2 linked regions of the Drosophila melanogaster genome follow. The protein of the gene in region 1 interacts with the protein of each later gene in a pairwise test. Each region holds a gene or a part of one and is shown on either strand. Other genes may lie near its edges.

Region 1 (5,646 bases):
GACCGGCGTTATGCTCTCCTCAAGCGACAATCACAAACTGAATTGATGTAGAGCCGAAACGGGCGGGTGTGTGTGCATGTGTCTCGATTGAGTGATTGATTAGCCGACTGACCCGATGGGCATGTGCATGTGTGCGTGTGGAAATGCACAATAAATCATTTGATTCCCACATACTGCTTGAAAACAAAAACGTAGCTGAATCCGATTTTCTTATTGTATTAGTTTTAATTATATGGATTAAACAATGACTTACAGCTCCCCCGCAATTTAGGTGCACGTGTGTGCGGGAGAGGAAAGCAGCAAATATTCAGACTTTAACTAAGGGCAGACCTGCGCACTTACCCATCTTAGCCCCAATCAAGATTGTCGGCATAAGGAAATCATCAGCAAAGTATGAATTTATTTTAACTCGCTCTCCAAAATTTCACACTGATCAGGGAAAATTTTAAAATACACTCTGAATCAGGGAAATTCTCTCTTTAACAAGATAGAATTCAATGATTGACCTCTTTGTTCCGTTATTTTCATTTACATGCGCTTTGTCTCTTTCTCTCTTCTGGCTCGCCTGTGTGTGTGTGTGTGGGTGACCTCCCGCCCGGCAAAAAAAGAAGAAGAAGCCCAACTAAGGGCAGACATGCGCACTTCGAAAAAAAAACAATTAGCGCGTATATTTAGCCGACTTTTTGTTCTGGCGAGAATGTGTGGAAGGAAATGTAGCTGTTATAACATACAACACAGGTCAAAATAATAGGGTTACAGTCGGGAGCATAGTATAAAATAGTTCCAACAGACCAATTGACAATTGACATTAGCTCATTCATCACAATATTTTATAACCACATCAAATTTACTCACTAGAAACTTGGTTTGATTGCGTTTATTTGGTTCGAATACAAATTATGTTCACCTTAGATCTAATGATTGATTGCATCCGACCGATGTGCATCTTCTAGATGCATCAGTTTGCAAAGATTACACTCTTTGGCTGCAGCTATTCCTCCTCCTCTTCGTTCTCCTTCATGTGGCGCTCACTGTTTGGAGCATTCTACGGCACATTGTCATCCATTTCGCGCATCACTTCATCGGCTCGTGTGATCAGCTCAATCAGCCGGTAGTTCTCCTTGTACAGAGCAAACTCCTCGAGTAGCTTTAGGTACTTGCGTGCATCGGCGCAGCTGATGACACTGGACCCACTTTCTTGGCCGGATCCCCCATTGTTGTTATCGTCTTGGGCGGACTCATAGCGACGTTTGGTGCCCTGGCGAGGATTCAGCGAGTTTTCAACTGCCGCAGGCGAACTCACCTTTCGCTGCCGCATCTGCTCGATGTACTCCATCTCGTCCTCCACATTGGCCGCCAGAACCTCGGCCAGCGAGGTGACACTGGAGCGACCATTGTTCGCGTCTTCATCGAGATCCGCTGGGTCTTGGTCCAGTTCCGATTCCAGCTCAGCCTCTGGCTCCACTTTTATGTGCACTGTAGGCGGAATTTCAAGATCCTTTTCCCTTTGTGCTCGGTCATCGTTCTCCTGGAGCTCCGCCTCGGGCTGCTTCGCCAGGAGCTCTTCCGGGTCCTTGGGCTCCACTTTGATTTCCTTTTCCTGCTTGATCTCTAGTTTGGGCGGCGGTACCACCGGTCCTTTGTCCTGCTGCTGTGGGGCAGGAATCTTGGTGATGCTCTGAGCGAGCGTGGCTAGTGGTATGATGGTCATGGTCATGGGCTGTCCGCCCGCTTGCGTCGGAACAATGGGTGTGGCCAGGAGAACTTTTTGAGTGGTGCCTGGCGGTGTGTTAGCTTGGAGGGGCAGTCTAACTAGAGGCGGCAAGGGCTTCAGAGCCCTGGCAAAATTTAGTTCGCTTAGTGAGGGCTTGACATCAGGCTCCTCCTCCAGATCATCCTCGCCGCTAATACCGCCACCGTCGACATCCACCTCGTCATCCTCGTCTTCTACATAGCTGCGGGGATGGCTGCTCACCGGGCTGCCCAAGCTGACCTCTTCGTCATCCTCCTCGCCGTTCCGTGGCCCACTTTCCGGCATGCTTTCCGACATGACGTCCTTGACGATGTCCTTGATCTGCACCGAGTAGCCCTGCGTGTAGCCTATCTTCAACAGTCTGGTGTCGCTGTGTTGGATGCTGTAGGTGCGTCTGAACTTGTCGCACCACTCCTGGTGCGGAAAGAAATGTGCCAGGTTCATGGAGCTCTTGAACTGCAGCGCCATCTTCTGGATGAGTCCGTCGGAGATGCTGAAGTCCTTGTAGTACATCATGCGGCGTATCCAATCGTACACGGCCTTGCCCAACATCGAGACCCTGACGGTCTTCGTCTCCATGGTCTTGGCGTCCTGGCTCCTGCGGGTTCGCTGATCCCACGCGTTCAGAATCTCAGCGCGCTGCTGCACGATCCGCTTGATCTGATCTGGGCTGCAGTTGAACAGCCGGCCAACGTGCTTATAAACCGGCAGCCGATCGTATTCCCGCAGAGCAGCAACCTTTTCGTTGAGGGCCAGGACATTCTTGCGCTTGATGCGATTGTCGAAGGCCACCTTCTCGGCGGCCGGCAGGCTGGGGGTGTGCGTGCTAGTGGGTGTGGGTGATGCAGTCGAAGTGGGTGCTGCTGGTGGAGCAGGCGCAGGCGCAGGAGCTGGTGTGAGAACCTCCGTGTCAGTGGCCTAACGACGAAGGGAAAAAAAGTGCTGTTATTACCGGGTTTTATGGTAACAGTTGAAATCGTGCAAAGTAATGCCACCATGAATGTAGAGATACAGTGCTCCCTCTGAACATGAATAATGTAGACAAAACAACAGAAGGTCTTTGCATATTTAGTTATGTTAACAAAAGCAACAGTTAAGAAAGACGAAGTTTCAAGGAATACATGGGGCTTTTATACTCATACTCATTCAAGCTTATATACAAATAAACGCCTAGATCAAGTCATTTACACTCGTGTTCTTTGAGAAGTGAAATGGGGTGGAAACACTTTGCGAGGCTTGACTGTGGCCACTTACCTTCGCCTTGTTGTTGTTGTCCTGCGTCTTGGAGGCCTCCTTGTGCTCCTTTTTCTCCCTCTCCACGCGCTTCTCCACCCTCAGCTCCCTCTGCAACTTGCGTTTTTCGCGTATCCGCATTGTTTGTGCTTTCCGTGCAATTTACACGGCAATTGCCGTTTGTTTTCGTCTTGTTTGTTTTTGTTGCTGCTGCTGCGCCCACTCAATTTCGCCCACCCCTTGCACCCTTTCTGCTCTCTCACTCACACACCCGCCCGCCTGTGTGTGTGTGTCCGTGCGGCTGTGTGTGTGCGATGGCTACGATTATGCGCGTTGACTGTCAAGCGAATTCAAATCATTTCGTCACTGCTTTTCTCGCTTTTCTTTGGCCTTTCAATGCGCTTTGGCTCTATTCGCTTTCGTTTTCTCTTCCTAGGCACTCGATTTGTCTTCTGATTGTGATTTTCCAACTGGCCGTGCGCTGCACCTTGCGTATTTTCCGATGTCCGTGCGAACTAGACGACGACCCATACAAAAATAGCTGCCGCGTTATCTCGCGCAGTTTTCATTCTCTGCTCGCTCCCTCTCTCGCTCTCGCATGCGCAACGTGGGCAACTAGAACGGAAGGGAAGTCGGCGTGTGCGAGAGTGTGTGTGCGTGTGACCAGCTGAGAGGGTGCAACTGCGCATGCGACAACTTTACTGTTACTTTCGCCATGTGGCAACTCTGCAGGCGATCGCTTTTTAAGTAGAGTAAGATTAATGAGAACATACATATGTATGTATGTATTTTGTTTTCAGTTTAAGAATGAATTGATTTCACAAGATCTGCAACTAACTGCACTGTAAAATATAACTATAAAGTCTTTGCGAATTGTAATCAATATTTAATTTAAATTAATCGAACCACCACCAATTGGAAACCCACGAGTCCATACATTTCGAAAATAATCTTTATTTTAACGCTTTTCTCCGGCTAATTTGTTTAACCGAATTTGGTGAAGTGTCGCAGGATGTGCGACATGGCCGCGGGATTATCGGCAGGAACCATGTGACCAGCCCGGTTGACCCAAAACATGCTGAAGTTGCCATAGGTCTTCTCGTAACCCTCGAGAACTCGATCTACGGTGATTCCCACGCGCGGAGAGACCTGGTAAGATGGCTTGGCGGACCATTCCATTGCTTCGATCCAGTTGACGGCTCCCGGAGTGGCGCAAATCAGGTCCAGTCCTCCGGAGAACACGCCCACTTTTACGGTGGTGTTGTTCAGCAGTTCACCCACTAAAAGTGTCATAAGGCTATAATTTGAGGTAGCACCCAGACGGTTGAAACATACCAACATCCACAGCTGGCTTCATGAAATCGCCCATCAGCTTGGTGAAGGTGGTGCCGCTCTGGGCGCCCCATTTCACTCCGGTGTTGATTCCGAGGGCCTCGGTCACGGGTCCAAGCATTAGATCCTCCAGCAATTTGTCGCGGTCCTCATCCACATCGAATTTCACGAGGGTGCGATACATGACCTCTGGATAAGTGGTTGATGAGAATCAGCTCGGTAAGTTACGCAACGGATCTTACCCTCCGGAGTCATGGCAGCTCTGGACATCAACCTGTACTGATCACCCAATGTTGGGGTCTCCACGTTATAGAAGTCCACTCCCTTGGACTCGCGCAGCACCACTGACTGGGTGGAGCTCCACTGCAAAGTGGCCTGTGTCCACTTCTCGCGGTCAACATAGTCCTTAGTCTTCAGGGCCGAAGCTTCAATCTTGTCATGGCCATCCTGATCCACGATTCCCAACTGCAGCAGGAAGGGAGCCCACGAGAGCACAGAGTCTATGGGTGAGGTCCAGGGATCTCCCAAGGCCACCGAAACAAAGTTGCTCTCGATCTCACCGCGCTTGATGGCGTAATCCAACTCCAAAGCGAACTCCGGGGCCATCTTTCCGCCATAACTCTCGCAGAAGATGTGCAGCGGCACAGTCTTGAATTCCGGGTGGTTTGTGTAGAAGCCCTTCATCAGCTCAACGAGATCCAGGGCGATCTGCTTGTTGTTGGTCGTGTAGTAAGAAGATCCGTCCACGTAGCTGAAACCACTGCCCACGGGATTGTCGATGAACATCACGTTCATGTCCTTCACCCAAGTCCAGTCGCGGTAGCTGCCGTCGAGCTTCAGGGGACCCAACTCCTCAAAGTTTCCGTATCCCGTTGAGGAGGCACCTGGACCTCCTTGGAGCCAAATGGCCAGCGGACGCTCCGTGTAACTGGAGACATTGGCGGTGGTGTAGTACAGCCAGTAGAACATGTGGGCGCCAGTCCTGACATCCACAAATCCCCAATCCTGATCACCGGGTCCATAGCCCTTGCGTGCTGAGAGTATATTGAATTATAGCTCATTTCGATTAAATAGTTATTAATATACAAAGCTCTTTGATTTTGTAATTTCATGATAGCCCCTGATTTCTAGGGAACACTTGAGAAATCTAGCCTTTAAGTATATTAAACGGCTGCACGAGTAGCCATTTAGATAAGATTAATTGTTATAGATAGTGTAGATAGTTGATTGTATTGTCTTATAACAAACCGAATAGCGGTTGGTCACTGTATCTTTTACAATGGTAATAAGGTCTGTCCCCAAACGATTCATAAGTATTTCAATCTACG
Region 2 (5,433 bases), on another chromosome or scaffold:
TTTAGAAAGGATTACAAAATATTAAAAAATAAATAATAATCATTTCAGGTTGAAATATTTACCAAATCCCGTAAGGACGCCCGAGTAAACAACCCTATATATTCCTTAAGTGGTACTCACTGAGATTCCTGCTCGACATACTTCATGATGTTCACCATCGAAGTTCTGGATTTTTCCCGCAACCACACCCCTATGATATCCCTAAGGATATCCTCCAACTCTGGCAATTTTCCTTTAATGCCTCGATACCCAACCGTCTGGCCAGCGTTTTGCGTGAACTTCGTGTTCCGGCACTCGTCGTGCCTCAGGACACAATCCCTCACATTGAATTCAGCTAGGTAGGCCAGTTCCGGGTTCCACTTCAAGGTGCCCATCCGACTGGCAGGACTCAGTCCGTTGAACCCTCCTTTGGCCACGCTATCCCTCAACTCATTAAATCGCCTTAATAGGAATCTTTCCACCTTTGGGCTTATCACTATGAGCTCAGCGTCCAGAGAGCACTTGTCGTGCAGTTCCTGAAGATATTATTGGTAACAAGTTAGGATAGTAACGCATTTTGGAAACAAAAATAACCCAGAACTTTTAGTATGACATTTTGTAACGAAGGTATACCTCTCAAAAGCCAATCAATTCGAAATTAATATTCGTCACTAATCAATTTTATCAACAAATTTTATGACATTGAAAATTTGAAAAAGTCCTAAATTAATTTATATTTGGCTTTCTTTCAACCATTTATACCTTATATAGTGTATGCGAACAAAAAATGTTGTTTTGTTAATTTGAATTAGTTGGTTGTTATCACGTGGCACACATTTTAGTTTAGTAACTTACGATTGATGCGTTGCAAGCCACATGTTTGAGTTCTTTGTGGCACAAGGAGGGATCGCAGTAGTCCGGTAGTTCCGTTGAGGAGCTGTTTCCTGGCTCCTCTTGACCTTGCGAACCTCCAGGAGATGGGTGACCAGCTTCGGTGACCGCTGGACTTGGTGTCGTAGTGGCTGCCGTTTGAATGGTCAAACAACTGGCAATCAGAAAAACGACAAGGGCCAACATTTTTCATCCAGAGACCGTGGCGTATTAACGTTAGTTTTTCAAAACGTAGATCAAACGGTTCGGACTGTGAAATCACAATTTGCAAAGATCAAATGATACAGCAAAACCAATGGTAGAATTTTTAGCAGATTAAACATTATATTGATAGTTTGGTTCGTCTCATAAAAAGCCGGAACAAATTATTGGGCAAAGTTTTTTAAAGCTTAATTTTGGATTTCCAAAAAAAAAAAATTGAAATCTTAAAAGTTCACGTTATTCTACTTAATAATATTAACGTTTTGAGATTATCATTCGTGCCGAAAATTTACTAAAGTAATTTTTCTGCAAAGAACCCCCCTAGTTTTTTATGAATACTAGAGCTGGGAATTCATCGATATTATTCACAAAACGTACGCTAGCTTATCATGAACATATATTGCATACTAATAGTATTGCTTGTTTTCTAAATATTAGCTTTAAAGAAGTTTTGGAATTGCTTGTGATTTTAATCGATTGTTATCCATTATTGATAGCACAGTTAAACCAACAACAGGGAGTGCTTATTTACTTGTTGCTGTTTGACAACAGCTGTTTCTTGTTTTGATTTGAACATACAAACATATATAAACATATATGTTTATATAGAATCTATAGATGTTAATTAACCGGAGCAAAACAAGAGTGAGGTAAACTTAAATTCTTTATTTGAACTGATGGGCAAGGACAGTCGAACCAGTTAAGGATTATATAAAAAGTGGTTATATATCTAGATGGTAATCATCGTGTATTTCGCTGGTATGGTATGGATATTAAGAGACGCACTCTTGGGAGAGCGAAAGTAAATAAACCGGTCGCTGATAGCATTTAAGTTGGGCTCCACTCCACTCCCACCCTTCTGCCTACGTGGACTGCTCTTTCGATGGCCAGTTGATTGGCAACTGCCGTTTTGCTTGCACTTGCCTCCTCCGCTGGCTGCTAATCGTGAGCCATTAGTTTATCGCTCCTTATAGCTAGAAGTAGATTATGTACAAATATCAAAGGTTAATTCAGTGCCACAGGCACACCAACCGGTGGTTGGACTTTAAAGTAACACTCGAATACCATTTCTCCGTTTTGCAGCCCAACGTCTGAGCGAATCCTCGAGAAAACCGAAGCCGAGATGAAGTTCCGTGGCAATGGAAAGCTTTTGTGGAATTTGGTAGTGCTCCATATGGAATGCTTGTGATTCTCCGTTCGGTAATCTGTATCCCATTCGATTTCCAGACCAAGAACTCCTTGGCCCAGCAGTCTCCAAATGGGATCGCCAAGAAAGTGCTGCCCGCTAGCAGCTACAGCACCGTCCAGAAGACCATTCCCTTGGAGCAGCCGAATCTGCTGAAGTACCACGTCCTGCCGCTGGAGGAAACGCTGAACCGCTTCATGACCACTGTGGAACCTCTCCTGACGCCTGAGGAGTTTCAACGGCAAAAGGGAATCACCTCCGAGTTTTTAAAAAAGCAGGGACGCGAACTGCAGCTGCTCCTGGAAGAAACCGGCAGCAAGGAGAAGAATTGGCTGGCCCACCGCTGGCTGAAGGCTGCCTATTTGACCTATCGAGATCCAGTCACCGTGTTCGTGAGTCCTGGCATGACCTTTCCCAAGCAAAACTTCAGGGACTCACGTGCTTTCGTGGACTATACCGCCAGGGTTATCTATGGACTGGGAGAATTCAACGACATGGTGCACGCCAACAAAATTCCGATCGTTAAAATGGGCAAGAACGAGCTGGACAACAGCCAGTTTGGCAAGGTATTCGGCACATGTCGGATTCCCAGAAGGGGCACCGACGAGATCGTGTACAATCCCGACTCCGATTATGTGGTGGTGATCTACAAGAATCACTTCTACCAACTGAAGATATACAGTAAGGAGGGAAAGCTCATTGCTGCACCATGTCTAGCTGCTCAACTCGAGAATATCGTCTTGAAGGAAACGCAAGTGGGAGTTCCTTATGGTATTCTGACCACCGACTCCAGGGACAATTGGGCGGAGGCCTACGAATATCTGGTTGAGACTCCTGGCAACCGGGATGCCCTCAAGACCATTCAGGGTGCTCTGTTCACCGTCTCACTCGATGAGGGTACTATCCTAAAGGAAGGCGAAGAGACCGACGAACTTATCCTATCGCTGATCCATGGCAGTGGCAGCAAGATAAACAGCGGCAACCGTTGGATGGACAAGACTATTCAGCTGGTGGTAAACCCCAATGGAAACGTCGGATTCACTTATGAGCACTCGCCGGCTGAGGGCCAGCCCATTGCGATGATGATGGACTACGTGGTGCAAAAGATGTAAGTTGAATAGGGCGCATGTGGTTAAAAACAACTTTATATTTATAATTTATATTATTTTAGGAAGGAAGACCCTAGCTTCGGGCAATCTGGCTCACAGGACTTTGCTCCTGCACAGAAAATACAGTTCTCTTCGAGCAATAAAAGTCTAGAGAAATCTTTGAACGTCGCCCAGGAAAACGTGGATAAACTTGCCGATGCTCTCCAAATGAAGGTTCTGAAATTCAACGGCTTTGGAAAGGATTTCATAAAGAAACAGCGTCTGGGTCCGGACAGCTTTGTTCAGATGGCGCTGCAGCTCGCCTTCTACAAGTAACTAGATGATCTTCCTACAGATTTTCAATATAGCCGAATACATTTACGTTTTGCAGAATGCACTCGGAACCACCTGCGCAATATGAGTCGGCGCACTTGCGCATATTCGACGGCGGACGAACCGAAACTATACGCTCTTGCTCCAACGAATCCCTGGCCTTTTCCCGCGCTATGCAGGACCCAAACGTTACCGATCAGGAACGCGCCGCCAAGCTTCGTGAGGCAGTAGTGTCTCATCAGACGTATGCTAAGCTGGCTCTTCAGGGAAAGGGTGTGGATCGTCACCTGCTTGGACTGAAGCTGATGGCTCTGGAGCACAGCAAGCCAATTCCCGAGTTCTTCAAGTCGCCGGGCTTTGTTAAGTCCAGTCACTTCCGCATGTCCACCTCACAGGTAGCCACTAAATACGATGCTTTCATGGGATACGGCCCGGCGACTGACGATGGTTATGCATGCTGCTATAATCCTCGGGATAATGACATCATATTGGCCATATCCGCTTGGCGCCATTGCCCAATAACGGATCACTTGAAGTTCGTTAAGACCCTCGAGCAATCCTTTTTCGAAATGAAGAATGTTCTCGAGAAGAACCCGCCTGAGACTAAGTCGAAGTTGTAAAAATGTACCAGAATAATAAAATTTAGCAGGGATCAAACTTTGAAGGACTTGATTTAACAGATGAAAGGATTTGGACTAGAATGGACAAACACTTGCTGCACTTGAAAACTAAATATGCTTTACATTTTAGCTATGGAATCAATCGATCTATTAACGCTTTTTTAAGTGGAAAACTTGTTAGTCGAATATTAATAAATACAAAAGACATGACAATTAGGAAGTTACAAATTTAACAGATTTTTTCTGTTTCTATTATCGTCGACAAATATTTTGGCATGCTTAAGAACTAAAAGTATTGTTCTCTGAAACTAGACAATAGCTTTAATTAGTGGTCATGTTAATTTATTTTTTACAGTTCTTATTAAGATAAAAAACAAAGCGTGAAAAATTAGTCTTCACTGTTTGCACTGTGGCTCGTCGCTCCTTTAGCTCCCGTCGCTGCTGCCGCAGTTTAGACTTGAACAACTCCTCTAGTGCCTGGACACGATCGCACATCTCCAACTCCGCGATGATCTGCGGCCAGTCGTCCACTGCGAAAATGTCCATTAGTGCATCTAGTCCTTCAGACAGGGCCCACAGGTCATCTTCCTGGGCACAGTAAGTCAATAGGAAGAGCACTATTGCCTTAACCAGGGGCTCTGAGAGCAGAGAACCCAGCGTACCCAGCATGCGGTTCCAGTTAACGCGAATATTTATATCTGTGCACTTGCTAGCGCCCTCGATAATCATGTTGAGATCATTCTCGGTCATCTGGCCGAAAAGATCCTTGCGAGACTTGAGCAAACTCAGCGAGGAGCGCATTAGTGACGTAATGGCCTCCATAACGGATACATCTTCACTTCCCCTAAATGCTTGTTGACCCAAGATCATCCACATGTTATAGAGGTTGCTGCAGCCCCCCAAATCTTCAGGGGGCAGCACATTGCATAGGTTCTGGAGGCAAATCAAGTATGATACTCTTAATTTTTCCACTTTCTCCTTGATATTCTCTTGCTGGGACACAAGATTTTCCACAGCAGGTTGCAGTGGTTGAGCCTTTTGCCATAGTTTCTCGATCACTTTGTTTTGTTTGATAGTCTCCAAGAAGTTGGCGGGCAGTCCCCCCGATCCACTGTCAGCTGTCTCGTCCTCCATG

The links.
Region 2: the proteins of ebd1 (region 1) and CRAT interact in a two-hybrid assay, tested with the Drosophila melanogaster proteins (one large-scale study listed by BioGRID).

The regions. Positions count from the first base shown.
Region 1 is NT_037436.4:682,021-687,666, forward strand, and holds ebd1 (earthbound 1), read right to left. Parts: upstream 3,530-5,646; 5' UTR 3,128-3,529; coding exon 3,008-3,127; intron 2,672-3,007; coding exon 1,046-2,671; 3' UTR 865-1,045; downstream 1-864. Other genes in the region: hiro (highroad), read right to left, coding at 3,971-4,266, 4,322-4,507, 4,561-5,352.
Region 2 is NT_033777.3:6,370,102-6,375,534, reverse strand, and holds CRAT (carnitine O-Acetyl-Transferase), read left to right. Parts: upstream 1-1,509; 5' UTR 1,510-1,689; coding exon 1,690-1,721; intron 1,722-1,960; exon of another isoform or gene 1,961-2,058; coding exon of another isoform or gene 2,059-2,075; intron 2,076-2,154; coding exon 2,155-2,233; intron 2,234-2,298; coding exon 2,299-3,365; intron 3,366-3,428; coding exon 3,429-3,677; intron 3,678-3,736; coding exon 3,737-4,298; 3' UTR 4,299-4,509; downstream 4,510-5,433. Other genes in the region: CG42564 (uncharacterized protein), read right to left, coding at 121-515, 835-1,056; CG10286 (uncharacterized protein), read right to left, coding at 4,641-5,433.